4 linked regions of the Danio rerio genome follow. The protein of the gene in region 3 purifies or fractionates together with the protein of the main gene of each other region. This does not show direct contact. Links are inferred from orthologs where the notes say so. Each region holds a gene or a part of one and is shown on either strand. Other genes may lie near its edges. The genes, in order: mphosph6, hbs1l, exosc4 and exosc10.

Region 1 (7,777 bases), on a different chromosome or scaffold from region 3:
GAACCAGTGAGTATCAACCATGTTAGCATCCACACCAATGAGCTGTAATGCCGTCTATTAAACAACCCAAACAGTAAAGTTAATGCATACACCAAACCCCACCTCTACCCCTCAGAGTGACGTCACTATCACTATTGATCGCATGTGCAGGTCTGCAGCCAGATACTATTGGCTATTGATTTCATCTGTCTCTTAAAATGCATGAGCTCTTTAGGGACAAATTCATACCAAATTCCAGTAGAGGTAAATGAACAATTGTGAACAAATCTGTTACCCATTTCATTTATATTCTGTAGCAGACCATTGTTTTATAGGAATGACCTTCACTATAGACCTTTTTCATGGCTGCTGCATGGCGGGCGCAATAGCGACCTGCGTCTTCCGGTAGTATGCTAAAAACTTCCGTTCACAGCGTGTACAACTGGTCATTTGCGCTCCGAAAATGGGTTTCAATAACGTTTGTAATGGATAACAGAGTGTTTTTGTGACACACAACTTAGAAATGTGTCTGTTAAAGCCGTTATAATCTGTCACGTGTGGTTCAAGCGCGTCAGAAATACGAGAAAAACGTTCTCCTAGTTCACGTGTCTGCTGTCAGAAATACAGTGTCAGCCTGTCAGCTCAGCGGCTCTTTAACACACACACAGAGAGAGAGAGAGAGAGAGAGAGAGAGAGAGCACATTAGAGTTCTGGCATGAAACTTAACAGGTATGAAAGTCGTGCAATTTACAAAAATGAGCAATAAAAGTCTGTTATTGATCCTCTGCTGCTGATTTGCTGTTCATTCTAATCGCGAGCCGTTTGTGTTTTATTTTGTGTGTTGTTTTCACCACGGTTTGTGTTTTTCTGTCATTTCGAAATGACACTAGCCTGTATTTCCACGTTGTCACAGTTATTAAATCAGTGTGTCAGTGGCACAGTACAGGCTACGTGTGTGTGTCAAACATTTTGGTGAACTACATTAGTTTGGGCTGGTTATATATTTGAAATAAAGAGAAAATGTTGACTTTAGCAATGACGAGGCTTCATCTAAACTGCAGAAGATGCCGTCTGACAGCGAGGGGAAACGCCTCACAGCAGCTGTTTTCCATCCTATTAGATCGCATTTCTTTAAATGATCAGTCCAGGAGATGCTGCTGATGGACAACAGTATTAGTTCAAAGAGGATAAAAGCAGATAAAATAGATTAAAACTATCGTTTCAAAGCTGTCCAAATGTGACCGTTTACACGCATCAGCTGCCGACCGGAAGTTCTTCGCATTCTCCTTGCGCATACACGCAAAGCATCATGGGTAATTATGCGTTCCAAGAAAAAGGTCTATATTGTAGCTGTAACCGTTTCTGTATAAAACCGTAACAAACCTATTGATTTGGGGTGAGTTATGACCCATTTATCTAGTCATAATTTATTAACCACTACACTAAAGTCAACCTGGCTGACGTTTGCAGATATCCTGGGCAGCAGCGAGCAGTGGGAGCGCGCTCAGGAGCAGATCCTCAGTGGTTTATCAGAAGAGGTGAAGGACTCGTATGGTGAAGAATACATTCACTCCATGCAGAAGCGGCTGCTGGATATGTCTTTAGCATCAAGTGAAGACAAGGGGCCGTTTCTGCAGTCTTTAAAGCACGCGATACTGTCCTCCAACCCGAAACACTTCTACTACCCCGGGGCCGGAGCGTGGGTGCTGTCTTTACTGTACAGATACTGTCCGACGGCACTGTCCGATAAAATCTTCTCCGGGATGTTTATGAGCGGCGTCCAGCCTGCAAAACTCGCCACAGCGATTCCACATTAAACGGGCGGCTTTTAGGCGTTTCGCACAGTCGTGTACTTGATAGGGATCTTTTAGGAGGGGTTGGAAATGCAAACGTATGAAATGCTGTTTATTCGCTGATGGCTTCAGTGAAATCACAGACAATCGGCTGAAATCTGAGGCACATTAGAGCTTATAATGATCACAGTGTGAATTATCAGAGGCATAATCTGAGATTCCTGCTGCATTATATTCATTCTTTTTTTTTTATAATGATTTTTTAGGGGTTTTTCACCTTTATTTTTGATAGGACAGTAGAGAATTCAGACAGGAAAGCACTGGGAGCAGAGAGGAAAAGGATCGGCAAAGGACCCCGAGACGGGAATCGAACCCGGGTCGCCACGAGCACACTGGTGCTATATGTCAGCGCACAGCACCACTAGGCTACCGGCGCCGACTGCATTATATTAATTCTGACTGAAAAAAAGGAAACAAGCGAGATTTAGGGTAGAGGGATATTTGGGGAGGAGATATGGACCTACAGCCACTTATATACAGTGCATCCAGAGAGGATTGATAGCGCTTCACTTTTTCCACATGCTTATATCACAGCCTTATTCCAAAATAGATTAAATTGATTTCCTCAACATTCTACACACAATCCCCCATCATGACAATGTGAGAGTTTTTGAAATTGTTGTAAATTTATTAAAAATAAAAAGCTGAAAATTCAGATGTACATCAGTATTCACAGCCTTTGCTCAATACTTTGTTGATGCCCATTTAGCAGTGATTACAGCCTCAAGTCTTTCTGAATATGACGCCACAAGCTCTGCACACCTGTCTTTGGGAATTTTCCATTCCCCTTTGCAGTATCTCTCAAGCTCTATCAGGTTGGATGGGAAGTGACGGTGTACAGCCATTTTCAGATCTCTCCAGAGATGTTCAATAGGATTTATGTCTGGGCTCTGGCTGGGCCACTCAAGGAGATTCACGGAGTTGTTGTGAAGCCGCTCCATTGATATTTTGGCGGTGTGCTTTGGGTCACTATCCTGCTGGAAGATGAACCGTCACCACAGTCAAGAGCACTCTGCAGGTCTTCATTCAGGATGTCTCTGTACATCGCTGCATTCATCTTTCCCTCTATCCTGACTAGTCTTCCAGTTCCTGCTGCTGAAACACATCCCCACAGCATGACGTTCAATTTTAGTCTCAGAGCAGAGAGTTTAGTTTCTGATGCTCTGAGAGTCCTTCACATTGGTAAACTCCAGGCGGGGAGTGTCTTCCGTCTGGTCACTCTACCATACAGGCCTGATTGGTGGATTGCTGCACAGATAGTTGTCCTTCTGTAAGGTTCTCTTCTCTCCACAGAAGAACGCTGGAGCTCAGACAGAGTGACCATCGGGTTATTGATCACCTCCCTGACTAAGGCCATTCTCCCCCGATCACTCAGCTTACATGGCCGAGGTTCAGCGAAAGGCTGTGAATACTGATGTACACGTGATTTTACAGCTTTTTTATTTTCAATAAATTTGCAACAATTTTAAAAACTTTTTCACATTGTCATTCTGGGGGATTGTGAGTAGAATGTTGAGGAAATAAATTGATTTAATTCATTTTTGCATAAGGCTGTGACATAAAAAGTGGAAAAAGCGCTATCAATATTGTCTAAATGCACTGTATGTCATTGGGGTGATTGGGGAGAAAGAGTTATCAGCGTTTTTTTTTCCCTGTTGTAAAGTCATGCTGTGCGTAATTTCCTGTCACTGATCCATTATACAATGTGAACACAGCAGCAATGGATTTTGACCCCAGATAGTCGTGCAATGTCAATATTAAATAACTGTTCGAATGTTGAATTATGCTATAGTAAGTTCTGCAGTCTTTTTTACACTATGAATAACCTTTTTTTAACATTTCCAACACAATCTCATCAATCTGACTTTCTGACTCATGAATATATTGTTTCTGTGAGAGAGCAGATTTCACTCTACAGCATATCGTCTAAACAGCATATTGGTTAAGTGTCATTAATGTGATTCTCTCTTAATGATTATTTAAAAACAACATGGAAGTTCTACACATCATTTTTTAAAGAATTGGTTAAGAAACTCTGGTCAGGATCTACTACGCTTTTCAACGATGGTACATTTAATTGTCAAAAAACCCCTTAGTGCACCATCCACTAGTGCTTTTCCCATAAAAGACAGTCTTTTAACAATGCATTTGTTGTTACCAAACAGAAAAAAATACTACTAATAAAAAAAGAAGTCCATTGCATAAAAAATAAAGCATTTACAGATTTAAAATGTCTCAGTCCTGTGGCTTCATGAAAGCTCGTTTGGGTCTAATATCATCAGTGACGTTGCAGTTGACATCCTCTTTGTTTGAGACAGCACTGCGATCTCTTTTCTTGGCGAACTTTTTCCTCATGCTCTCAACCAAACTTTGATACCTGTAAAACAAAAGCAAAAATCAAGGTTTTCATCTGCTGGTGATGTCCACATTCGAAACCATTACAATTTTGTTTCGAACCAGTGGTTTCGGTGCGCATTTCCAATTGGCAAGGTCACAGGATTTCATTCAAATTGAGCTTCGTTATGGTCAATATGGTTTCGAAATTGCTTCCCCACAAGGGGGCGATCTGTGCAATATAAAATCTACAAGAATCACGCAGATTCATTCAGGTCGCCCCCCAGTGGCCAATCACTGAACAGGTTTCACTGATTGATCTCGGATTAGTTTTACAAATTTTGTTAAATATTTTAAGGAGATGTGTATAAAATGAAAAGGAGTAATGGTTAAAAGTAGCTAATAGTCTCCTCCTGGCCTGTTTAGCAGTTTAACAAGCAATATATAAGCCTTGAAAACATCTAAATGAAAGAACATTATGCAGAGACTTAACATTTAATGATCTTAGATGACGAGCCAAGTTTATTTATAGGTTAAACTTTCAATTTTAATATGTTTGGGAGTCAATTCTAATGCATCTTTTGTTTGAGTGTTGACCAGCAGGGGTTTCTAGCATGTGCGGTTTCGAATTGCTTTAGCGAAGTAATTGGTAAAATTGTTTAGACGCTTCATTTCATCACTATCCTCGTATATATATATAACAGATGTGTAGATTACAGATGTATTTGTCCTTGCTCACCTTTTGGCCATCTCTTCATCCGTAATATCGGTTTCCATTTTGTTCATGCTCTCGTCCTCCTCTTCTTCATCCTCTTCCTCTCTTGGTGCGTTCATTAGTAACATTAATTTCTGCAACAGATTCAGACTTGTGATGAATAAACCCCACTTTAGATTACAGGTGGCTATCAGTGGCTATAATTAGAGCAAGACGTGCATTTTCAGCTCATTGTTAAAGGCACAGTATGTAAATTTAGCCACTAGAGGGCGTGTATTCACAACAAACAAAGGTGTGTTTTGATGACTGAGTGAAAAATAAAGATATAATAAACTGTTCAAGTGGCTTTTGAATATGTTAATACAAATAAAATCATACATATTGTGCCTTTAGCTTATTCTTCAGATTATGCTCCAATAACGTGAACACAATAATTGAGAACAGTTAACAAAACGGAAGCAAACGGCTGTAAACGGATGAAAGCTGTACCTCCACGTCAGGATTGAAGCCTTTGAATGACATTCTGCCGTAAACCAGATCCTCACAGGGAACGAAACTTCTCTCCTCGATGATGTGGTTTCTGGCAAAGTTAAAAATACCTTGTAATTTTGTCAATTTAAGAGACATTTTGATAAACCATCAGATATCCATAAGGCAACGAATATTTGCTAATGTCAGACTGCATTAGAACTAGAATCATTTTTAATGGGGTACATGCATTAGGACTTTCATTTTAAAGTGTCCTGGTTCAAACGCTGTATGCTAGGGCTGTGCAATTTGGGGAAAATATCTTAATTGCAAAATTTTTTTAACAGATATTTAGATTTGATTTGCAATTTAATATTGTAGACATTTTAGGTACTGGTTGTATTTCCTCATGCCTGCAACAATCCTGCGGCAGCTCTTACAAATAACCTTTTTTTGTTTGGTGTCTGTGAACAAAATATTCCCATATCACTGACGTGCGTTTTTTTCTTTAATAATATTTAGTCTATTAATGCGGAAGACGCCATCATCCCACTCATCTGTTTGTTTGTTTTATTGTGGGCGTTCCCCATAATCCGGCAGTGCAATTCTGATTGGGCAGGATGAAAGCGTGCACACTTAATTGGCTTGTAAGACTTGTCACACGCAGACTGCAGTCATGCATTTGCTCGGGGCGTGGGAAATTAAATACAAATCTATGTCATATCGCAGCCTCTTGTGATAAGCTAATCGCAACATTTCAAATTGTGATTCGATTTATCGCACAGTCCTACTGTATGCAGTTACAAAAAGGCCTGTTTTCTTTAAAAATCAACCATCTTCAATGCCTAATTGATATACGATATAAGCGGGTCTCAGATTGTACAAGAAACACTACATTAATTTACATTTCCCCCGTCGTGTCTTTATAATATGAGCATTTATTTTACCCCAGTATGTTAAATGGAGCTTCTGCGCTAGCCTGCTGATTCTGACGTGTGCGAGTAAACAACTTTTGATCTCGTTTTGCGCTTGATCAACTAAATAAATGCTTGGGTCTATTTAACTGATTGTATTTTATTTGCAGTACAACATAGATGCTGTAAAAGGAATGGAAATAAGTAGGGGTGTCACGATTTCGATTCTTAATCGAAATCGATCGAAATTTATGCTCAATTTCGATTATCGAATTACAAAATAGAATCGTCGATGCTGCCACGCCCCGATGTCACGTCAGCTTGGCTTGCCAAGCGGGAAAAAAACAGGCTTGTTGAAGTGCTTGTTAAACTGCAGAAGCAGGAGACCCGTCGACAGAGCTTAAACCCTCTCCTCTTTCAATGAAGTCGCCGGTGTTTAAGCATTTTGGATTTCCAGTGAGTTATGTTGACAACGTTCGTGTTGTCGACAAAAAAAAAAAACACAGTTTTGCAAGCTCTGCTATATACGTATTACGTATGGTTCGTCCGATAGACAACACCAGCATCGCGATCCTCCGCCCGCCCCCGTTGCAAATCCGCTCGCGAAAAGTTCACACTCAGGCCCTGTTTACACTGTCTTTGTTTTTAAATGGCATTTTAGAACAACAACGATTTGACATCCACAGTGGCGTGTAGCATTTCTGAGCAGCCCTCCTTCCTCATTACCTCTGAAAACGCACATCACGTGACCACACAGACACAGATGCACACACAGCCATGCGCTCGAGACAGCAGGTCCAGGCAGTCAGAGGACTGCTTCAATCTTTCACTCACTTGTACTTTGTCATTTTAGCGAACACCTCAGACACTGTTGGCTGGTTCCTGTTGGTTGTGCGTCTTTTTTACAGACGCCATTATAATGACACAGATCACTGCCTATTCACGAGTCCCGCAGAAAAAGTGATTGACAGGAGGTAATTATGTGTGCATCTTGCCTTTATTCATTTACTGTATGATTTGTTTATGGGTAAAACAAAGACCATGCAGGTCAGGTAGTTTAAACGGTAGGCTACAAATAATTAATTGGTCATTAATTAATCATTCATAATCGAAAATCGAATCGTGCCTTTAGAATCTTTAGGATCGTGACACCCTTAGAAATAAGTCACATTAACTGTTCACCGGAAGTTTATCAGTATGGGAAGAAACACTATTGAATCAGTCAGGTATTTGTCGCCACCTACTGGTGGTTTTGGATCCATTGATCTAGATATAACATATTGGAAATGTCTGAATTTTATTTATTTGTTTGCTTGCTTTTGGTCAATATTCTAAACCTTTGGGATTAAATAATTTTTAACTGCACTAAAGAAAATGTTTTAAAGCGTGTTGCAAACTGGTAACTATTGACTTTCATAGTATTTGTTTTTCCTGGTTACAGGTTTTCAGCTTTATTCTAAATATCTTATTTTGTGCTGAAAGAAATATAAATTGTTTTGATTTGGAATAAATCA
Region 2 (7,478 bases), on a different chromosome or scaffold from region 3:
AAAAAATAAGGTCAAGTTAACCTAACTGTTTCAGATTACAACAGGTTTAATCACTTTTTTAAAGTTAACTTGTTGATTTTAAGGCAATTGGTTTACACTTGAAAAAAAAAAGAAAAAGTAAAATAATTAGATTTTTGGGTGTGTTCCCTTTCTTTGTTTTAAGTGATATTTGTGTACAATATCAGGGCTTGACAATAAGTTCACCTTGAACACCCAGGGCCAGCGTGCAAGGCACTTAGAAGAGTAAACTGGATTGTTAGTGCTGCCTTGTCACTAAAGTTTAATTTGGCTGCAACTGTTTGTCCATTGCATGCAAATAGGGTGAAAAAAAAACATTTAAGTTAAAAAACTAATCTATACGAGTACTGTGAACTTACTACATTCAAGTAATGAGGTATTTAATTAACTCATTACCTTCAACACTGAGTTCAAAACTCTTTTCAAATGAGTAGAATTAACTTACAGTTAATTTTGAGTTAACTGCACTCATTTTATTTCATTTGATAAAGTTGAATGTTGAGTTTAACAGTGCATAGAAAATGCTTTTGTTAGAGTCTAACAATAAACACTCTCCGAAAAGGCAAAATAAATATAAAAAAAAATCAATAAATAATAGGTATTTGTTTATTGGCCCAACAACACACAGAATGATGTTTTCCACAGTGATCAATATTTATTTGTTATTTTTCGCATGATGTAGCGTTCCCCGGATCAGACATCTTCAGCTTCGACACACCCAAACAAAACTCTTAAATTAAAACCCCTTAATAATCAAGTCAAAACAGATGAGTCGTGTCCATCAGGTCCTTAAAGTGACTACTGTTTGACTACAGACACACAGATGAGTTTCTCCCGCATACACGGCATATCCAATTGTTCCCTGGTTTTCAATCCTCCTGTTTTCCCCTGACGCATTAATGATCAAGAAAACACAAAGTAGCAGCAAACTGAAGGGAAGGTTTCATTCACACTGTCCTGTTCCATTTCTGCTAATTAACCTTGAAACCTCTTATTTGGAGGAAGAATAAATATAAATGGCAATTATGTGCTGCTATATTATAGCCAAAAATCCAAATAAAATATCAAGTAATAAAATTAAAAGAGTTCCATTTCTGATGCAAATCAACAAAAGGAAGCAACCTAATGTAAATTAAAGGTAAACATTGTGGTTTTATATGTTGTTAAATGGGTTTGAATGTAAATAATTCCGAATTTTGGGATTAATTACTATAGTTGTTATTGCAAAGATGAGGAGGAAGACAAAGAGCATTCTCTCCCTTACACTTATCAAAAGATATTTTCTTTTTCATTTTTTTTTAGTCTTGTTTGCCAGTACAAACATCTAAACATACTTAAATCAAGATATATTTATTGAGAGTAATGTTTATTTTTTTAAAACGTAACAAAATAAAATTACTTTAAGCTTCAAAAACAAAGGAAATATTAACGTGGGGTTGATCAGAAAAATCCCTTGTTTATTATTTAGATTTTAGTGGCAGATGTTTTTAACAAACAAAATTGTGACAGATCTTTCAGAACTTTAATAATTTGCCTCTCAAACAACTGCATAATGATTTAAGAATGCTTTTTTTATTTGTACTGAAAACAAGACAAAAATGACTACAAGAAAACAAACACCAACATTCACTCTCCCCTCCCGAGGCCTGTGAAATGTAACGTGAGCTGAGGCTAGATTCACTGTTAGCTTGCCTGCTGGGCATCTTTGTGTATTCACTTCATGTTTGTGTACGTTTTGAGGGAGAAATTGCACTTCAGTCTGATGGTTTCTGTCAGTACAATCTGAAGGATCCAGTTCCAACAGGCTCTTACTCTTTGATCTAGAACAATACAAACATTGGCATTAACAAGCATCACATCTTACGATGTACAATCAAGTACGCTTTTAACAATTTGGTGTTTTAGTTTTACCTCTGTGACCACTCCTGCAGCGATGGTGGAGCCCACGTATCTCAGCATGAACCGCCCCAGTTCTTTATAGTCCTTATAAAGCTCCATAGCCACAGGTCTCTGTGTCTGAATCTCCACCACTGCATTCTGTCCTTTACTCAAACACCTGCACGACAGTTAAAGGGTTAGTTCATTCATTCATTTTCTTTTCAGCTTAGTCCCTTTATTAATCAAGGTGTGCCACAGCGGAATGATCAACCAACTCATCCAGCATATGTTTTACACAGTGGATGCCCTTCCAGCTGCAACCCATCACTGGGAAACACCCGTACACTTTCATTCACACACATACACTAGGGACAGCTTCCCCAATTCACCTATAGTGCATGTCTTTGGACTGTGGGGAAAACCCACGCAAACATGGGGCTCGAAGCAGCAACCTTCTTGCTGTGAGGCCACCCACTGCACCACCGTGATGCCAGTTAAAGGGTTAGTTCATTCAAAAATGTTAATTATTCCATAATTTTTTTTGGTGCATTAGTGCCACCAGCAGGACAATACTGTATATAGTCTGACTCTCTTCAAGGTGCTTCAGCATTCATTTTAACTGTGCATACATTTCACACTCAAGAGACAGAAAAGTGCAGTCCTGATGTTGCTAATGCACCAAAAACTGCACCTCAAAAGATAAAGTTTAAACAAGATGAACCTATCTGCTTTCAACTGATAACAGGAAGGTTCATAGAAAGTAAACTAGAAACATGCATTTTGTTTGAAGAAATTAAATCATGGTAGGGCTGTAACGAATTAAGGTTGACACAAAGTTCGAAACATACGTGACCTGAGCATTAACATTTTTAATTTTTTTGTAAGTTGATCCAACATTTATAACTATGGCAGAGCGATCGCCCCCAGCGTCATTCAAATTACGTGTATGAAAACAATGGCATCCCTGTAAAATATAATGATGACTGAAAAAGTTGTGGTGGGACCTACCTAAATGCTTTCTTAGGTTATTAATTAAAGGTGTTTTCTGACACTTCTTTAGCCTGCATTAATGCATTCAGTTTAAGCTGCACTATTAAATTTAAAAGATCGTGATTTTAATTCAAATCCACGCAACGTGAATGATAAATGATCTAATGCGAACAGTGAGATTTGTGATCCATTACACCACTAAATCATGGGATACATTTTAAAAAGATAAGCCCTAAATAATATAACTGTAATTTGTAATTATGGACCCTTTTTCACAAGACTGTTATGATGCATTTAACCGTCATTAGCATCTAAAATCCTCTAAAGTTTTAATATTTAATTAAAAAGAAAAGTATGTAGATTTATATGTATTATATCATCTTTGAATCAAATTACAGAAAACAAATTACCACTTGTGTGAGGCGTTTGTTATGCAGAGTGAATGGGGCAGGAGAGTAAATTTGACATTTTAGGTCTCACCGATTTTATTTCCGTTTTCTGAAAGTCTTGATAACACCATTGTTGAGTTTTTTATTTTGTTATTTCAGCAAATAGGATTGTAAAAAAATATATGTTTGCTGTACTCTCCCATTCAATGCACCTTAAGTTTACCCAACTATGACAAATTCTGCTACTGAGAAACCCGGAAATGTGAAAAGGGTCCATTGTTAAACTTCCTTACTATACCCATGCAGAATAATTGCATTGTGAATATGATGTATGAGCAGCTTGCACAAGTGCTCTGAAGTTGCTGCACTACCTGATTTGTCCAAAATTTGTCTGATGTGTTTTTTTGTTTTTGTTTTGAAACGTTTTACATTTTCATTGTTATGTAACGTGGAAGTGTAAATGCGATTTTAAAGGTACTGCGGGAAAAAAAGGTATTTCAACAAACAATGGCTTAAATGTATGTGGTTATCACACGAAAGCCCCCTTTGATAGAAAGCTTATTAATTGTGAAGACTGAAGGTGCTGGGAGTAAATACCCAGCAATCTCACCACCCTTAATCCCATGGTTGAGGTGATTCCCTTGAGCAATGCACAGAATCCTCAACTACTTCCCAGGCGTTTGTGTGTTCAAATTCTGAGTATAGTTAACCATTCTTGGCCACAAGTCACAACTTTCTGCTGCAAAAGGCATGCATGGAAAAACCAAGCGGCATGATACAAAAAAAAATACATATGTAGCGTTGGCTTCTCCACAATATGATATACATATGCACAATGTCATTTTTCTGCGCTGTTAAAAACCCTTTAAAAAGAAACTGTTCCTTAAAATCATGTAACATTTTAGATTCTAGAATCATCCGTCCACTTACTTTGGTTTTTTCTTGAGAACTTCTCCACTGCTCTTGTGTAATACACTGACTAACTTCCTAATGGTGGCCGGTTCACTTACAGTCTGATAATGCAACAGGACCTGCCAATCAGACACACACACACCAAATACACAAATATTAGCAAACACACTTGCACAAGAACCCACAAGAAACATGCAAAGATATTTATATCTAAAAAGCCTGAGAGATGAAATGTTTTCTCACGGGGAAGCCTTGAGTGATGGGAAGTTCAATATTAAAGAGGAGGATTCTTGCTCTGAATCGCGTGCAGGCTCTAATGGGCTCTTTGGGATCACAGAATACACATCCAACACTAGAGAAAGAAGCAAGAAAACATACATGATTACACAGAATCAACCGTGTCCGTAGAAAGTTTTTAATCATGTATTACGCAACATTACATAATCAAAACATTATATAACCGAACTGTTATAATATACGTTAAGGAAGGGATTGCTTTCGACGCTAGTGTTTCTACACACACTCACTTTATTTTGATGATGTCCATGCCTGTTACAGTCAGACTGACATGATCACCAGCCGCTGCCCAGTCTAATGCTTCATCATGAAGACTGATCCCTAGATAGAATTACAATCCATTAAGATTGCATTAATAAAAAAAAATAACCAAAAATGAGTGTAGCACCACTCTAGCCTTTAGCGTTACAAAATCCATCATAAATCATATTTATATTTTTTTAATCTGGTGCTCAATAAACACTTATTTAAATTTTGCATTAAGGTTTCATTAACTAATGTGAAGTATTTACTAACATGAACTAACACTGAACAACACAGAGCATTTATTAATCAACAATGCATTATTAATTCCAAATGCACACTTCTTAACATGAGTTCTAACAAACAGCTTAACAAAAAACAGCTTTATTTTCATTAACTAACATCAACAAAGATGAATGTAAGAAATGTAATGTATTGCATATTGTTTGTTTAATTGCACAAACAAAAACACCTTAATAAGCTTATTATAAAGTGTTACCAGTTTATTATTCTGGTTTTAAGATTCCAAGAGAATCTAGTTGAAATTAATATGTTAAATTCTTAAATTTAATATGTATCGATTTAAGTATTTTTTTAAGTATTGATTATTCATGATTAACTACACAGTATATTTCCTCAATTTCCAGAACAACAAAACTAAGCAATATAAAAACTACTGCAATGACTTTTTATTTAGTCCTAAAGTTTATAAAGACTGTGTCATAACGTTAGTTTTGCAATCTTAGTAGGAGAGAAATAAAAAGAAAAAAGCGAGTAACAAAATTTGTTAAAAGATTCAGTCATTATTGCGAATCTGTCTCAACTAGATTTCAGTAACTAATAACTCTTTTTTACAATAATTTTTTTATGATGATATTTGATTGATTATTTTTTCCCCCAATTTCTGTTTAATGGAGAGATTTTTTTCAACACATTTCTAAACATAATAGTTTTAATAAATCATTTCTAATAACTGATTAATTTTATCTTTGCCATGATGACAGTAAATAATATTTTACTAGATATTTTTCAAGACACTTCTATACAGCTTAAAGTGACATTTAAAGGCTTAACAAGGTTAATCAGGTTAACTAGGCAGGTTAGGGTAATTAGGCAAGTTATTGTATAATGGTGGTTTGTTCTGTAGACTATTGAGAAAAAAAATATAGCCTAAAGGGGCTAATAATTTTGTCCCAAAAATGTTTTAAAAAAATAAAAAACAGCTTTTATTCTAGCAAAAATAAAACTAATAAGACTTTCTCCAGAAGAAAAAATATTATCAGACATACAGTAAAAATTTCCGTGCTTTGTTAAGCATCATTTGGGAAATATTTAAAAAAGAAAAAAAAATTCAAAGAGGGGCTAATAATTCTGACTTCAACTGTATAATGTGTGTGAGTTTAACTATTACACCATTACAAATATTAATATAAAAAGCATTTATTTAATTCACGTTAAATTATAAAAATAAAATTGTAAAATATATATAAATATTTTAATACAAATCTTATTTTTGAATATTTATTTTATAGCACATATTTTACTAACATATATTAATTAACATATATATTAATTATTACAATCAGTTACCCATGTGCCATGTGTTACTATATTGTTCCACAGAGATGTTTAATAATATGTATCTGTTTTCAATTAGCAAAAATCAGTGTGCTAAATTAAAAAAAAAATATTTTTTATTAAGTTATTCAGTGCATTAAACAGATAAACATGTACACTGGCCATATACACTCACCGGCCACTTCCAACTGCTCGTTAATGCAAATTTTTAATCAGTCAATCACATGGCAGCAAATGATTTTGAATGTAGCATGATTGTTGTTGCCAGACGGGCTGGTCTGAGTTTTTCAGAAACTGCTGATCTACTGGGATTTTCAAGCACAACCATCTCTAGGGTTTACAGAAAATCATCTAAAAAAGAGAAAATATTCAATAAGCTGCAGTTCTGTGGGAGCAAATGCCTTGTTGATGCCAGAGGTCAGAGGAGAATGGCCAGACTGGTTCCAGCTGATAGACAGCCAACAGTAACTCAAATAACCACTTTGGGTCAACGCCATAGCCAGTGAATATTGTTGCTGACCATGTCCATCCCTTTATGACCACAGTATGTACCCATCTTACCATCATCTCAGACTGGTTTTTTGAACATGACAAGGAGTTTACTGTACTCAAATGGCCTCCTCAATCACCAGATAGTAATCCAATAGAGCACCTTAGGGACATGGTGGAATGGGAAATTCACCGCATGAATGTGCAGCCGACAAATCTGCACGAACTGTGTGATGCTATCATGCCAATATGGACCAAAATCTCTACGGAATAATTCCAGAAACCTTGTTGAATCTATGCCACAAAGGATAAAGGCAGTTCTGAGGGTAAAAAGGAATCCAACCCAGGTCCAGTAAGGTGCACCTAATAAAGTGGCCGGTGAGTGTATATTTTGCATGCTCTATGATTAACATCCATTTCTTCTTTCACACGACTGGTCTTTCACGAAAGCACCAGAGGAGGGCGCTGCTGCCTAACACCCTAAAGCAATGCATGTTTCTAGAAAGTGGAAGCTTTTGTGTTTACCTTTAACAGTGCAGGTCTCATTAGGCGGCATGGCAAGCACTTTATCTCCAGTCTGAATGTAGCCAGCCTCAATCTTTCCAGTCACACAGAACCCAGAGCCCTGATCTGAAAACAGTGAGATTCTTCAGCTCATCGCCATCAAAAAAACTGACTACAATG
Region 3 (8,579 bases):
CTTTACATATCATTTATATACTGCTACTCTCTGTTGAATTGTAGTGTTTATTAAAAGCGTCTGCCTACTAAATAAATATCTGCTAAGTTAATAAAAGATAATTCTTTTTTATGTTTAATATAATATATTTTACTATAATACATATAGTAAAATAATATAAATATATATATAGCAAATAGTGTTTTTGAACCATACTATAGTTAAGTGTATTGAACTATATATATATATATATATATATATGTATATATATATGTATGTATATATATATATATATATATATATATATATATATATATATATATATATATATATATATATATATATATATACATACATATATATACATACATATATATATATATATATATATATATATATATATATAGTGGCAGATATATATATATAATATAATATAAAATAAATGTATATAAATAGTTTCCCAGTACTGGGTTGGGGCTGGAAGGGTATCCATAGTATAGTTGGCGGTTCATTCCACTGTGGTGACCTCTGAAATAGAGACTAAGCCGAAGGAAAATGAATTAATTAAATTTATATAAATAAATATATTTAGTAAATAGTGTTTTTGAACCGTATATTAAACGGTATAGCAAACTCTTTGTAATGAATGCTGCTTATCAACATTAAACTTATAATCTGTAATAAATACAGTAGTATACGTTAGCAGTGTATGTATAAATTTGTAAACTGTAGTGTATTGAAGTGCAATAGTTATATATAGTATTTAAAAAGAATACACACACACATATATAAGTCAGAATTATTAGCCACCTTTTGATTTTATTTTATTTTTTTAAATATTTCCCAAATGATGTTTAACAGAGCAAGGAAATTTTCACAGTATGTCTGATAATATTTTTTCTTCTAGAGAAAGTCTTATTTATTTTATTTTGGCAAGATTAAAAACAGTTATTAATTTTTTAAAAAACATTTTGGGACAAAATTACCTTTACCTTAAAATTCACCACATCAACCCAATTAAGCCTTTAAATTTCACTTTAAGCTGTATAGAAGTGTCTTGAAATATTAAAATATTAATTAAAATATTATTTACTGTCATCAAAGAGAAAATAAATTCGTTATTAGAAATAAGTTTTTAAAACTATTATGTTTAGAAATGTGATGAAACAATCTTCCCTTCATTAAACAGAAATTGGGAAAAAAAATAAACAGGGGCGCTAATAATTAAGGGGGCTAATAATTCTGACTTCAACTGTGTATATATATATATATATATATATATATATATATATATATATATATATATATATATATATATATATATATATATATATATATATATATATATTACAAGTTTCCCAATACTGGAAGGACATCCGCTGCGTGAAACCTGTGTGGCGACCTCTGAAATAGAGACTAAGCTGAAGGAAAAAAAAAAAAAAAATATATATATATATATATATATATATATATATATATATATATATATATATATATATATATATATATACTTCCCAGTACTGGAAGGGCATCCGCTGCGTAAAACATATGCTGGAAAAGTAATGTTTTTGAACTATACTATAGTTAAGTGTATTAAACTCTTTAGTGAACTCTTTATAAATGAATTTTACTTATCAATATTGAACTCATAAGCTGTTATAAATACTGTAGTATACGTTAGCAGTGTGTTATTAGTGTTACATTAGTATTGTAAGCTACTATTATGTGTAAACTGTATAGTTGTATGTATTACAGTATTGTGACATGTTTATACTGTTGTATTACCATAACAACAACAAAATTACCACAACAGATTAATTCAAGTAACGTTAGCCTACTTTAGCATTGTTCATAAACACTAATATTTGCCAGAATTAAGTTAGTCCACTGTAGTATGTTTTAATGTGGGTTTATTTAATCTCGTAGACCAATATGATTAATATGCTCGTCTTAGGTACTTCATAAAGCAGTTCACACTCTAATAAAGTGAAGTCGGAGTATAAAAACTTGACGAACTCATTTGGAAATCATTTGCTTTCAGGTTTTTACACCTGATAAACGTTTGGTTGCATCGATCAGGTTTGTGGTCAGTGCCCCTCAGCGCTTTCACTTCTACTTTTACGAAGGCATTATCTGATTAATAGATTCTCGATTTCATTAACGCGTTTTGTTTCGTTTTACTCACTTCCTTCTTTATATCGGCCATTTCGTCCTCCGTCAGGTGAGTAACATCCATCCTCTCTTTTCGTTTTGTTGTTTTTCACTACTGTTCAGTTTTTAACTCGTTCCGGTAAGAAAACGGTGCTTCAAATTCCACATCGGCGACCAGAAATCAGCCAAAATGTCCAGACACGAACTTGTTAGCACACGTTGGATCCACTCGTAGTTCTCATATAGTAAAGGGGAACTACCGGCGCTTTAACTTCCTTATTGATAGCCTACATACTTTCTGTGAATGACGCCATAACCCAGCATCACGTCATCATTTTACAGGGGAGAACTTGTAAAATTTGTAAATTATGTAATATTTTCCTTTAATTTGTGATGATGTATATACCCCTACATGTGTTTTCCAATTTAATTCTTTTTACTGTATTGGGATTGTATTTGTGCATTTTTCATACTCTGATAAAATAGTTGGGTTAAAAATACCCCAACATTAAACCCAACTATGGGGTATTTTAACTCAATGCATTGGGTTATTTTAAATACATGTTTTTTTTTCATTCTGGTATTACTCTATTACTATTACTACTATTAATTTTATAATTATGATAGTGTAAATAAATAAATGTCTCCGCTGGGTGCTAAAGACAACAATATTATTGCGTTAAGAGCTTAAATAAACTTTAGAATGCAAAAACAACATTAAGCGCACATATTAATACAGCTGTTCTGTGTCAGTTAAATCAGTTGACTGTTGAAATTAAAAATTCTAACCCAACTGGTTGAGTTATGATATAAATAACCCAACAAAGTACATACTATTTAACCCAACTGGTTGAGTTACTATTAAATAACATAATAAAGGTTAAAAATAACCCAACAAAGCACATACTATTTAACCCAACTGGTTGAGTTACTAATAAATAACATAATAAAGGTTAAAATAACCCAACAAAGCACCAAATATGTTTAACTTAATTATTGGGTTAAATAAATAACTCAACGTTTTTTTAGAGTGTAACATTTGAAACAAAGTTATATCTGAAATGTAAACTGTAAACTTAAAATTGTACAAAAAGCATTTACAAGCTGTGATACTTGCCAAAGGCGGCAGTTCAAGATATTATAATCAACAAAAAAACGTTCTGAGAAGGTTCTCTTTTGGTTATAAAATAGATCCCAAAATTAACCTACAATGAACGTTCTGGGAAGGTTCTCTCAAGGTTATGAAAAAAACCTAAATAAAACCTAGAGGGAATGTTCTGGGAAGGTTCTCTGTAGGTAATAAATTAACCATTGAAAATAGCCTGCAGAGAACGTTCTGGGAAGGTTATATTTTGGTTACCAAAAAAAAAAAAAAAACCTACAGAGAACGTTCCCAGAATGTTTTTTTTTTTATTTTCTGTTATTTTGAAAGTGTAAATGATGGAAATAAAGTTTAACTTTTTTGACACATTAAAAAAATGTCTAATCTGTAATTTAAAGCCTTTTGGAGATTTTTCCATCTTGTCGTGGCTTCTTTATGCACATTAATTCAAATTTTTACCTGGGGCGCCCAAACTTTCGATCCCCACTGTTTATTAGGAGTACTAAATCTGATTAAATAATGGTTAATTTGATAAAACACAAAAGGAAAAGTGTTCATTTGTTAAAAACATACCATTGTTTTATTACAACTCTCTCACAACAGAGGACATTATTATAACAAAATGTGTTCAGCGCTTTTTAGGTGGCATTTCTTCTGGATAAGCTGATATATAAACTTATTTTTTTCTGTGTCTATCAATTCTGTGTGTTTTTCAGTCCAAGCGCATGCTTCAGACACTAAAATGAAGAATAAATGACTAAAGCATTTCCTATGGAGTCAGATCAGTCTCAAAAATAATACATTTATGAAATGATATTCATACATGCATAGCGCAATTCACATTTATAAAATTAAGTTCGTAAATTCAAAACACAATTCATAAATACAACACACAGTTTATAGATTCACAAGTAAAAATCATAAATATTTTCGCCAAATGAACTGGATTTGTGTATTTTTTAATTATATTTAAACTTGTGAATTATATTTTGTAAATGTGTTATTTCTGAGACTGATCTAACTCCATACATGTCGATCAAATCTGTTTTTTTTTTTCAGTCCAAGCGCATGCTTCAAAGATTAAATGAATAACAAATTAATAGAGCATTTCCTATGGAGTCAGATCAGTCTCAAAAATAATTAATTTACTAAAAGTTCATACATCACAATTCACAATTACATAATCCAATTCATAAAATCAAAACACTATTCATAAACGCAACACACAGTTCATGAATTCACCAGTGAATATCATATATAATATTTTCACCAAATGAATTGGATTTGTGTATTTCTGAATCATATTTAAGCAAATTATATTTTGTAAATGTATTATTTTTGACACTGATCTGACTCCATAGATGTCCATTAAATCTCCATCTCAATCTCTGGTCAGATCTGAAACCTCCTCTAGATGCTGCCGTACGACACTGTCTAGAACTTTACTGAACTCTTTGCACGCCGTCATGGCCGCCTCCATCAGTGTGTCCAGGTGGTCCTGATGGAGCCGGGCGTCCATTTGCAACAGGGCAATATTTCCACTACGAGGCAGCAAAGCCAGAGCCAGCGCTGTTCCTCCACCGCTCTCCTCTGCATGACACAGATCTGCCAGCGGGGTGTCCTCCACAAACCCAGCGCTGCACGCACACACATAATCGCGCATGGGGATCCCAGCGTCCACTAGAGCCAATGTAGCAGCATTGACACACGCGCTGTAGTTTCCACCGTCCGCCTGCAGGATCTACAGCGCAGGACAAATCAAAGACATGGTGCTGTTGTAGTCAGTTACATGTAATGTGAATTGTAATAGTATTTAAAGTGTCTTTGGAATCTTGTCATGTACTGCAACTGTAATAATATGAGTTATAGTTTGATCTGGCTCTTACGTTCAACAGAAAAAATTATCACAATAATTTAAAGCCAATATGCATGCATGGATGGATGGATTGATGGATTGTGGGTGGATGGCTGGGTAATTGGGTGGAGGACGAATGGATAGTTGGGTGGATCCTTGGATGGAGTCGGTGGGTGGATGGATGGATAGTTGCATTTATGAATGGATAGTTGGGTGGGTGCAGGAATAGCGTTGGGTAGATGGATAGATAGTTGGGTGGGTGCGTGGATGGATGGATAGTTGCATGAATGGATTGATAGTTGGGTGGGTGCATGAATAGCGTTGGGTAGATAGATGGATAGTTGGGTGCGTGGATGGATGGTTGGACGGATGGGTAGTTGGGTGGATGAATGCAAAGATAGATGGATGCATGTATGTTGGATAGTTGGGTGGGTCCATGGTAGAGTTGAGTGGGTGGTTGGATTGATAGTTGGGTGGATGGATGGATGAATGTATAGTTGGGTGGTTGGATGTATAGTTGGGTGGGTGCATGAATGGAGTTGGATGGGTGAATGGATAGGGAGTAGGTGTGTGGATGGATAGTTCGGTGGATGGATGCAGAGATGGATGGATGAATGGGTAGTTGAATGGATAGACGAATGGGTAGTTGGGTGGATAGATGGATGGATAGTTGGGTGGGTGCATGGATGGAGTTAGTTGGTTGTTGGGATGGATAGTTGGGTGGATGGATGGATGAATAGTCGGGTGGATAAATGGATGAATAGTCGGATGGATGAATAGTCAGATGGATGGATGGATAGTTGGATGTATGGATAGTTGGGTGGGTGCACAAATGGATTTGGGTTGGTGGATAGTTGGATAGTTGGGTGGGTGCATGAATAGAGTTAGGTGGGTGGATGGATGAATAATTGGGTGTGTGGATGGATGGGTAGTTAGGTGGATGAATGCAGGATGCATGTATGATGGATAGTTGGGTGGGTCCATGGATGGAGTTGAGTGGGTGGTTGGATGTATAGTTGGGTGGTTGGATGTATAGTTGGGTGGGTGCATGAATGGAGTTGGATGGGTGAATGGATAGTTGGGTGGGTGTATGGATGGATAGTTGGGTGGATGGATGCAGAGATGGATGGATGGATGGATGGGTAGTTGAATGGATAGTTGGGTGGATAGATGGATGGATAGTTGGGTGGGTGCATGGATGGATAGTTGGGTGGGTGCACAAATGAATTTGGGTTGGTGGATAGTTGGATAGTTGGGTGCATGAATAGAGTTAGGTGGGTGGATGGATGAATAATTGGGTGCGTGGATGGATGGATAGATGGATAGTTGGGTATGTGGATGGATAGGAAGGTGGGTGTATGCTGGATGGAAAGATAGTTGGATGGGTGCATGGATGGAGTTAGGTGGTTGGTGGGATGGAAAGTTGGTGGTTGGATGGATGAATAGTCGGATGGATGATGGATAGTCAGATGGAGGATGGAAAGTCGGATGGATGAATAGTTGGGTGGGTGCATGAATGGAGTTGGGTGGGTAGACGGATGGATAACTGGGTGCGTGGATGGATAGTTGGGTGGATGGATAGATAGATGGATAGTTGGGTACGTGGATGGATGGGTAGGTGGGTGTATGCTGGATGAATGAATAGTTGGGGAATGCATAGATGGATGGACTGTTGGGTGGGTAAATGCATGGATGGATAATTAATTGGGTGGATGAATGGTTGGATCGATAGTTGGGTGGGTGGATGAGTTGATTGACAGTGGGGTGTATACATGGATGGATGGATATTTATGTGGATGCATGGACAGTTGGGTGGATGAATGGTTGGATCGACTGTTGGGTGGATGGATGCATGAATGGATTGTTGGGTGGGTGGATGGACTGTTGGGTGGGTAGATGAAGGGTAGGATTGATAGCTTGGTGATTTTATGGTTGGGTGGGTGGATGGATGAATGGATAGATAGTTGGGCGGATGCATGAAGGGATGGATAACTGGGTGGATGCATGGATTGATGGCTGAATAAATGCATGGATTGATAGTGGTGTGGGTGGATGGATGAATTTCCAGATAGAATCCAGGGAGGATGTATGGTTGGACATATGACCAACTGAGCAGATGGATGAGTGGATGAACAGATGAAGGCTTGGACGGATGTGCTTGAATGATGATGGACGGATCGATTCATGCATGGATCACTGGATGTTAAGATGTGTACAAATATGTGAATTAACTTATGCATGGATGGATGCACAGATGGATGCATGTGTGGATGATTTGGTATACGTTTTTAAAAACATCCAAAGTGCACTCAGTATCAATATACAATATGATTTACGGTGATGGATGAATGAAAGCACAGATGCATGGGGGCATTTAAGAATAGATCAACGACTGATGCAGAGATTGGTGGATGCAAAATTGGGCAGGTGAGTGGATGGATGATAAACGGCATGAACGTAAAGAAGTCCATGTACCTTGACGTAGATGTCGATTTGTGAGCGTGGGTAGAGCTCAGTGAGCACCGCAGCCTCAAAGGTCTGTTTGAGGTGGAGGCTCATCTCGCTGGACTTCCGGTCTCCGTGTGGACGTCTCTTCCTCTCCGCCGTGCTGAACGTGGCCATGCTGTACTGACAGTTGATGATGGCGCGATCATGCAAGGATTTACTGCGAGAGCCTCGAATCTACAGGGACAAAGATGAACTCCAACATGTTATTCAGTTAAACGATGATAAAATATTGGATGTTACACATAACCGACACGTTGGACAACGTTACTGCAGAGATTCTGGCCTGAGTGTTTTGTAATAATTATTGTCTATTATTCACAGCACCATTTTAATCAATTATATTAGACAGTTTAACTAATTAAGAATTATATTATTATATTGAATCCACGAATACTTAAAAACATACGGAAATGTGTTGTTCTTGTTTTAATTTATTTTAAAAATAATAACAAATGAGATCCCACTGACATTCTGACCACTGACAGAGAAAATATTCCCAGTTTCATATATAGTCCTGCTGAAAAATCCAGCTTGAACCAGCCTAGGATAAAGTGCTAATAATTTTGACTTCAACTGATAATCGTTTTGAATAATCGTGATTACAATTATGACCAAAATAATCGTGATTATGATTTTTTCCAAAATCGAGCAGCCCTAGCTAAGACCAGGCTGGAAATGGCTGGAAGTGGCCAAAAACCCACTAAAACCAGCCTGGTCGACCAGTTAAATCCAGCCAACCATCCTAGGCTGGTTTAAGCTGGATTTTTCAGCAGGGTATACAGTTATTGGTTAAATACATCATAATACATTCTGATGATGTCTGTGAGATTTATGTGTTTTTTGCAATGACTGTAAAAAATATGGACGACGCGACAGCCCTTTTTCCCATTGAACGCCTTGAGGGCAAAACGCCTGCTTGACGGGCACAAACTGTCGCAAAAGACTGCTGAAATTGGAGCCAGACATGCGCAGAAGGACTGTCTG
Region 4 (8,269 bases), on a different chromosome or scaffold from region 3:
CCAAGAGGTGTTTCAAAGATGGCTGTCGAGTGAAATGGCTTGCCTTAAAAGGACTTTGCTGCAATCTCATCACATTTCTCTAGAGATTACACCATCTCTCTCACAGTTAATGTTGTTAATGCGCATGCTTCAGATTATATCATAAACTTGGCAGAAACTCAATACTCGCACTCCTGCTCATTTCTCTCTCAGTTCACAAATACTTTTTTTTTTTTAATTCAACATGTTCGTGCTTTGCAACATATCGGTGGATTACATGTAATAACATCAAAATTTAAAGACTAAGTCTAAAGAGTTTTTTTTAAAGGCCAGCAACCAAAATATACACGATTCTTTATTCCTGTGAGACAACAGTGCTAATTAATGACCTATGTATAACCAACGTATAGCGAATCAAACTGAAAACTGACCACAGAACAGTAATACTAACCAAAGCGACAATTTAGTGAAATGCATGAATTGCATAAAAACACTGAACCATCACAGTAGAAGTGTTTGTTTAGTTTTTTCATAAACTGTCCCATCCCTAATACATACATGTACAAACCTTCAGTAACGGAGTCTCTCTGGCCTGTTTGATGAGCTGATGAAGCTCGTTGATCTGCTGACGCACTAGTGGTGGAGTGGGGTTACAGCATGCGATGATGCCCTGAGGCTCCCTGCAGTCAAACACACACACACACACACCCACCCACACATTATTAAGGGTTTCCACACCAAGCACTTAAAGGAACAAATAATTTTTTGCTCTTAGCATTTTTTGTTAAACTAAACTGTACAGTTTAAATATGTATTTTGCCCACTTTAAAAACTTACTTTGGAAGCTCATCTGCAATTTTCATCATCATGTGGTTTGGTAAGATGTACCTGAGGAGCAGGAACACATTTAAGGCTCAAGTCAATGAAACAAAATATCCTGTGGTCTTATTTAGAAATGTGGCTTGCGCACAAAACGAAGTAAGCCAAGTAAACATATTTCACTTAAATAAGCCACAAAAAAATATATATAAATAATAAAAATATACATATATATATATATATATATATATATATATATATATATATATATATATATATATATATATATATATATATATATATATATATATATATGTACATATATATATATATACATATATATATATATAAATCATAATTCATTTAAATTTAACCTGTTGTACATTTACTTTTAGGAAGGCTGTTAAATTCATAAATCAGATGCCCTGGTCGGTAGTGCCATGCACTGAGTGAGGTTTGGCCATTACCCAGTGCTCTCGTCTTCTTCTCGGGCCAGTTTGTCTCTCCAGGCGTACATCAGTCTGAAGGCTGCCAGCTGCTGTGTGTTAAAGCTCTTCTTCTGCTTGCGGTACAACTCCATGTATGAGTCCTCCGTAAAAATAGGCTTCACATATTTCTAAAGAAAATGGTTGAAAGACACAATATTCAGAAAACACCATTTTGAACCTGTATCTTTGAACAGATTCATCTGAACCGATTCAAAGTGTTTAATAGAGAATATTTGAAATGGGGTTTATTTGGTGTATTTAAAGAGCCTTTATTATGCCATTTTAGAAATACTACTTTTATTAATCTTATTTAATGGCTTTAATTCTAAGTAAAAAAAAAAAAAAAAAAATTCTCATAATGTCAGAAAAGCATTGACTCTTATCTCACAGTGTCTGGAATAATAGCCTCATAGGTCCGTTCTTGTTACACCCTGCCTTTCTCATAGTGTTTCCTGCTCTGATTGGTTAAATGAGCCAGTCTGTTGAGATTTGTTGACCACTTACCGACCATAATCTATGATTATTTAGCTTTTGTAATTAGCTATTTCTGCACATATGACTCTGAACTTTACATAAAGTTTAAATTTGTTTCTTTATTGCCATATCAGCAACTGGTGGCAATTTCATGTCAATATTAATATATAAAAAAACATTACATCCTCGCATGTTACATTATGTCCTTCATTATGACTTTTGTTATTTTGATTTGTTATTTTGGATGGATGGATGTGATGTTATACGTGTTATTTATGTGGAAAGCTGAATATTAACAGTTCAAACATATTACATAGCTTACTATTTTATTAGGAGAATACAAAATAAATGAATAGAAATGACAAATGTTTACACTAAAAACACTTTATTTGATTTTTAATTTAAATGAACATTACTTGAAGAGTAATACCAGGAAAAGCATAACGAGGCACTTTAAGTTTATGTTGAAATGTGTCCATACCTTGAGCGAAAGGTCTCTGCTTTTAGTCCAGACCTGCTGAATGAGGGTGGCCTGCCCGTTGCCCCCATCAAACAGATCTGCTCTGACCCGATCATACACGTACAGCAGGTAGTGAGTGTCAGCCTGAGCATACTTCAACATCTCATCTGGCAACGGCCTACAGGCATAATACATACACTTAATTCTGTCATTATGTGGTGTTCAAATTTTTATTTAAAAAAAACAACATGTACCTCTGTACAAAAATCAAACTCTAACTTGACTAAGGTTATTTTCATGAGCCTATCAGCACTCTGAATGCACATAAAAGGACCACCAAACAGGGTTATCTAAAGGCCAAAATGATTGCTATTACTTTTAGTGTGTGTTTAAAATTGAAATTAGCCAGTGGAGAGAACTATAGTGAGCTTGAAAACAATGAAAAGTGCTTTTTTTGAACCAAAAGATGCAGAAATTAAGCACTCAGCTTTGTGGAGATTATCTACAATTTTAAATGCAGCTCATAAACATCTTACTCTTTGAAAATAATAGTCTATTAATAAGATTTAAAGGCATTTTGTGCCATTAAGATTTAATAGAAACAAAGTTGCATTTTCCATTACTAGCAAAAACAGAGCTGCTGACTATATAAAAATTATCAATTTCGATTAAAAATGTAATTAACTTTCTTGTCGTTTTTAACTCAACAATATTAAGACTTAGCTGTAAAACAGTCAGGGGCCTGTTGCACCAGCAATGCGCAAGTTAAAACGTAGCCTATTTGTGACTTAAAGGGACACCAAGTTACAATTTATGCACTACTAAATATTTGTGTGTTGCACTACTGAACTTACTTTAAACATAGCGCTACGTTTCAACTAAATATTTACAGCAGCCTCCCCCTTGTTTAACAGTAGAAAAGAGACGATATTAGTTTACATAGAGGAGCTCGCGATGATAATGCAGAATGACCTCCCTCTACTCACAGCCTTCATTTCTTCCCAAATCTCACACTTTTTTTTTGTTTGTGAAAGAAGAGTTTAATTTTCTTTTAAGGAGTCTTTTGTGTTTGTTGTATCCATCAGTTGAAACAAAAACCTCATGACCGAGTCATTCTTCCTGCTCTTTTCTCTTTCATGTGAAGAATATAAAAAACTTCATGTGTATTTCGCGTGCATTCAGGTATATGCATAACCTGTTATTAATGACTGACTGTAATTTACTATAAAAATGTAATGTCATTTCATTTTCATAGAAAAGTTCTATATAGATGCATTAGTTGCCGAATTATGCAGTTTAACGATTTAAATGCTTTCTATTGGATATTACGTCATTCAATGCGACTACGCATGACTTTACAGAGAGCAAATGACCTAACTACGGTTTACCTTGAGAACAAGTGGTGCAACCAAAGTAAGAAAAAATTTAGTTGCAAACTAGCTAGTAGTTACTAAGCCCCTAGTGTGGACTTTACGTTCCAGTTTAAGAAAGATTTTTTGAACAGCTGGTGCAACTCTACCCAGTTGAATTAATGGGGTCTTAATAAGAACTATAAATGTTAGCACATTATTTTAGCTATACTGACCTCTAGAGAAATATTACAGTATCACAGGAAAATTATATTAACAGTTTCATAAAGTGTTTAATAACCCACCATATGTCTACTAAAAAAAACATCTTCACTGGACAAAATATTTAGCACTGTCTTTTTAAACTGAACTTAAACAATGTTAAAAATAGTCATAAAACATGCAAAGTTAAATGTAGTGCTAATTTATTTAATATGTTGATATACTGTTACAACAATCCTTTTATGTCCACACAAAAATATCTTAATTATTGTAACATTTGCAAATATCAAATTATGTATCAATTAATGCTTTAAGATAGAATATCATAATTCCAAGTGGAAATCATTTTTTATAAAGGTTGTTTTGGCATCTGACACATTTTGGCATCCAAACAAATCCCCATTTACAAATTAGAGAAGATACGAATAGATTTTTAAGAATTATTTTCTTGATTTGTTGACTATTTCATTTGCCATACCTAAATGCAAAAACTTATGCAATCTAAAAGTTTTTTTTTTTTTTTTTTTTTTTTTTTACATCAAACAAACAGAAACGGCGTAAACTTAGTTTCGCATAAATTACTTGCAAAAATAAAATAGGAAGTGTATCGTGCTGATCATAATGAGTTGCATGTACCGTATCCTCCAGTCTGCCAGCTGGTAGCGTTTATCAGAGCTCACGTCACAGTATACTTTCAGGAGATGATCAAGAGAGTTGCGGCCGAGGTTAAGACAGCGTGCAGCATGATGAGTGTCAAACATGTTGACCACATAAAGCCCAAAGTCCTTCTGCAGCCACTCAATATCAGAGTCGGCCCCATGAAACACCTGCAGAAACAAGGTATTCACAATATAGTGACACATTTATTATACTAAGGAGAATGAAAGTGGATGGACACTCACAATGCGGAAATTAAAGAGCACCGGCATAGGTGTTTGTGTGGAATACTGGCAAAAGTATTATCTTGATATTTTTTTTTTATAATTAAATTATGATTCATCGAATGTGTTAAATAAATGATACTTCAATTGCCAATAGGTTGCAACAAATCTCGGGCTTACTGAGTGATCATGGACTCAGATAATTTGTTCAAAATTAATCATTGAGGAATATGACAAACAATGTGGTGTTGCTCTGAGGCACCCAAATATTTAGCTCCAGGGTCTTTTGGAAACATTTTCATTAGCTACACAGAAAAATTGACAATGTTGAGCATGAAATGAACTGTTAGATAAAGTCAATATTACTTGCGATCACACTTACCAATTGGTATTACAGTATTGCTGTGAGTGTGTTATATTAAGTGAGTGCACACCGATCGATGCAATTATTCTAAACAAAAGCAACTTTTCCACTATCATTCTGAATTGTTTTTTATGCTGAACTGTTCCATTCCGTGCCAAACCGGGCCAGACAGCACGAATACGATTTCATTTTCCACTGCAACAAAGCTTTTTGAAACATTACACAAATCCCATCAGTAGCTGCCTTGCTAATGCAATGTAAACAACTACACTGCCACTTCGAAAAGCTTTCAAACAAGTCCAAAAAATTAAAGAAAAAGTTGACTTTCTAAAGTAGACTTTTGGACAGCTGACATTGCAACACGCTGTAACCATCCTTCAGGTGTTCCAGCTAATATTAAATTAACAGGCCGTCTGGGCTGTGAATTATTTCCTCGTTCAAAGAGTCTGCAATTTCGTGTTCCATGGATATAGCGGTGTTGTTATGTGTCCAGTACTAATAGATGTGGCAGCTCTTTTCCACAATGAACATCAATCTACTAAGACTAGCATATATAAAAGTAATGTGGCTTGGTAATGGATCCATATGCGCAACTCCTAACATCACAATTAAGTGGACATAAAAGGAAAGAAGAAAATAAATAGCACCAAAAAACTAAACTGTGGAAGTCAATGGTTAAAGGTTTCCAACATTTTTAAAATATCAACTTGTGTTCAGCAGAAGAAAAAACTAAAACAGGTGTCACAAGTGAAGCGTGCAAGTAAATGATGGCAGAATTTTTAGTTTTAGATGAGCTATGCCTTTAATAAACTGCTTCATCATTCATTTGAATGCTCTCTTTCCATATTCTGGCTGAAAAAAAAAACTGACTTAAAAAACACAATGCATATGGTCACCAAAAAAATTGTCTATTGCTTGTAATTCCTGATCTTTAACTGCATGTCTTTAGTAAATCCTGAAAGTTATTAATGAACAAAAAACTTTTAATGAAAACTGTCATCAACATGTACAGATCTTATAGTAACTTTAAAAAGAAAAGCGTAATATTATAAGTCCATCACCTTCACAATAGCAGGGTCTGTGAAAGTCTCGTTTAAGATGTACATCTCGCTGCGTAGCTCTAGCGTGTCTATGATGAAATCCTCCTCTCGTGTGGAAATCTGCATCAAACATGTGATTCCCAGAAAGCTTCTGTAGGAATGATGCTGTGGACAAAGAATTTGGGCAAATTAAAAAAGAACAAGTAATCCAGAAGACTAAACAGCATCATAGAAATTTCCCATACCTCCAGATCCACAGCGAACTCAGTGGTCTTGGCCAATTTCTCATTCAAAGCAACGAGGTCTTCTAAAGTACTGATAAACTGACAAGGGGTTTCGTCAATAGGTTTATACATCTAAAACACAAAGAAAACACAATTATTTCACTGCAAACAAAAATGCTTTTTTGCCTTGTTTCTAGTTCAAATATCTAAAAACGATTAAACCAAGAAGCATTTTCAAGACAAGTAAAACATATTGTCTTGCTTTAAAGGGATGGTCTACTACAATATAATATTTTAAACTTTAGTTGATGTGTAATGTAACTGTGTGAGCATAAACAACATCCCTAAATGTAATATGCTCAAAGTTCAATATAAAGAAAGACATTGGCTTTTACAGAGTTAGCTTAGCAAAGTCTACAGCAAACAAAGTTTGGGGATTACAAAAAATACTTCTGGTTTAATGAGATCTTAAACCCTTTAGGTTACACACACCCCGTGCAGTGAAGGGGCATGGCCAGAGGTGTTGTAATGTTATAGCGGAGAAAGCTAAAATGCTGTCCAAACACTGTTATTTCCGCAAAGCTTGTTCTGTTTCTGTGTTTAGGCTTCTAAATGACATGACACAAAGAGAGAAGTGCTTACAGTTTAATTTTAATCATGTTCCAGAGAATCATAAAAAATATATAGCTAGCATTTGACAAAGGACAGCTTCAAGAATCTCTCCCAGTTCAGTGATGGATTCGGCTTAAAACTCCTTAAAGAAACAGCTCCAGCCATAATAGCAAAAGCTATGGACTGAGCCAAAACCTGTGTTTTTATTTGTTAAAATTAATCTATTACATGCACAGTTTCTAGCGTAAACAGTACAATGTAGCAATAACATAAACAAGGATGTAAACTACGGAAAATGCTGATTGGCACTACTAACAATTTAGCTACAAATTCATATTTATCCATCAAACCGCTGTAAACACCCACAAACTTCAGCTGCGCTGCAGGGTCTCTCTATGCGGCCGCTTTCCGTGCATACTACATCTCACGAGATATGTGAACATTTCATATTACTTAAACATTCACATAATCTGAATATATATATGAAAGACAGTTTTCAGGTTTTATTTTGGAGCAGGGATGGGGTTCAGCTGTATCCTCCTGTCTGATATGGCTTACAGCTACACTGACTGACAGCATTTACACAGCACATTATGTAAGATGACCAATCAGAGCCTCTTGTGGAGAAACTATTAATATGATAGTCGTTTTCATGTTAGCAGAGTAGCAGTATATATTTTAAGTAAGATACACGAAAAAAAATTATGTGATTATCTACAAAGGAAACATGAGCACACATTGCTTTGCATCTTATGAACACAACCAAGGCTTAAATTACACTCTGGACCACTCCTTTAAGACATAATATGCCAAAATTAAGTGAACTGTTCCTTATAACAAGCAAAATAATCTGCCTATATGGGTAGCAGAAAAAAATATTATTTCAAAGCAAAAACAAAATGATTTAGCTTACGCCATTGGTGGATTCATTTGCCTGGTTTTAAGGAAAACTCACTTGATTTTGGCATAATATTTCTTAAAAATGATATAATATATGTTCTGTTTGTCTAGAAAATGCTTCTTAATTTTAAGACTTTTTAGATATTTGGACTAAAAATAGACAAAAACAGTTTTTTGCAGTGTTAAAAGAACATAAATGTCAGGGGAGAAAAGCTGAATAAGGCTTTGACCTGGACTTCAGGTTTACACTTCAGATTCTCTGGCATGACCAGATGGTCCAATTCATACTGATATGGGTGGGAAAACCTGGAAAACAGCATTACAACTAATTTATTACAAAGAAGAACAAAATTAGCACTGATGCAAGGTAAGTAACAGAGGCATTGAATAAATCCCTTAAACGCATCTTACATGTCGTCCACGTGCTCTTTTGTCCTCTGCTGATGAATAAAATCTG

What was found.
Region 1: the proteins of exosc4 (region 3) and mphosph6 purify together in Homo sapiens (affinity purification with mass spectrometry; 7 studies listed by BioGRID and IntAct, with this or other methods). This does not show direct contact. The link is inferred for Danio rerio from reciprocal best matches to the Homo sapiens genes EXOSC4 and MPHOSPH6.
Region 2: the proteins of exosc4 (region 3) and hbs1l purify together in Homo sapiens (affinity purification with mass spectrometry; 3 studies listed by BioGRID and IntAct, with this or other methods). This does not show direct contact. The link is inferred for Danio rerio from reciprocal best matches to the Homo sapiens genes EXOSC4 and HBS1L.
Region 4: the proteins of exosc4 (region 3) and exosc10 purify together in Homo sapiens (affinity purification with mass spectrometry; 9 studies listed by BioGRID and IntAct, with this or other methods). This does not show direct contact. The link is inferred for Danio rerio from reciprocal best matches to the Homo sapiens genes EXOSC4 and EXOSC10.

What each region holds. Positions count from the first base shown.
Region 1 is NC_133200.1:38,535,717-38,543,493, forward strand, and holds the end of mphosph6 (M-phase phosphoprotein 6), read right to left. Parts: exon of another isoform or gene 6,753-7,777; intron 5,561-6,752; exon of another isoform or gene 5,509-5,560; coding exon of another isoform or gene 5,462-5,508; coding exon 5,371-5,461; intron 5,016-5,370; coding exon 4,906-5,015; intron 4,210-4,905; coding exon 4,068-4,209; 3' UTR 3,369-4,067; downstream 1-3,368. Other genes in the region: hsd17b2 (17-beta-hydroxysteroid dehydrogenase type 2), read left to right, coding at 1-6, 1,450-1,796. UniProt on the Homo sapiens protein: RNA-binding protein that associates with the RNA exosome complex. Involved in the 3'-processing of the 7S pre-RNA to the mature 5.8S rRNA and play a role in recruiting the RNA exosome complex to pre-rRNA; this function may include C1D.
Region 2 is NC_133198.1:34,709,447-34,716,924, forward strand, and holds the end of hbs1l (HBS1-like protein), read right to left. Parts: intron 7,425-7,478; coding exon 7,320-7,424; intron 4,806-7,319; coding exon 4,715-4,805; intron 4,540-4,714; coding exon 4,431-4,539; intron 4,307-4,430; coding exon 4,206-4,306; intron 2,075-4,205; coding exon 1,930-2,074; intron 1,839-1,929; coding exon 1,827-1,838; 3' UTR 470-1,826; downstream 1-469. UniProt on the Homo sapiens protein: GTPase component of the Pelota-HBS1L complex, a complex that recognizes stalled ribosomes and triggers the No-Go Decay (NGD) pathway.
Region 3 is NC_133177.1:2,086,580-2,095,158, reverse strand, and holds the end of exosc4 (exosome complex component RRP41), read right to left. Parts: intron 7,770-8,579; coding exon 7,563-7,769; intron 4,974-7,562; coding exon 4,614-4,973; 3' UTR 3,786-4,613; downstream 1-3,785. Other genes in the region: bcl10 (B-cell lymphoma/leukemia 10), read right to left, coding at 2,165-2,215. UniProt on the Homo sapiens protein: Non-catalytic component of the RNA exosome complex which has 3'->5' exoribonuclease activity and participates in a multitude of cellular RNA processing and degradation events.
Region 4 is NC_133198.1:16,322,170-16,330,438, reverse strand, and holds part of exosc10 (exosome complex component 10), read right to left. Parts: coding exon 8,224-8,269; intron 8,119-8,223; coding exon 8,043-8,118; intron 6,433-8,042; coding exon 6,322-6,432; intron 6,242-6,321; coding exon 6,098-6,241; intron 4,619-6,097; coding exon 4,428-4,618; intron 2,399-4,427; coding exon 2,242-2,398; intron 1,415-2,241; coding exon 1,266-1,414; exon of another isoform or gene 950-1,265; intron 868-949; coding exon 817-867; intron 724-816; exon of another isoform or gene 660-723; coding exon 548-659; intron 1-547. UniProt on the Homo sapiens protein: Catalytic component of the RNA exosome complex which has 3'->5' exoribonuclease activity and participates in a multitude of cellular RNA processing and degradation events.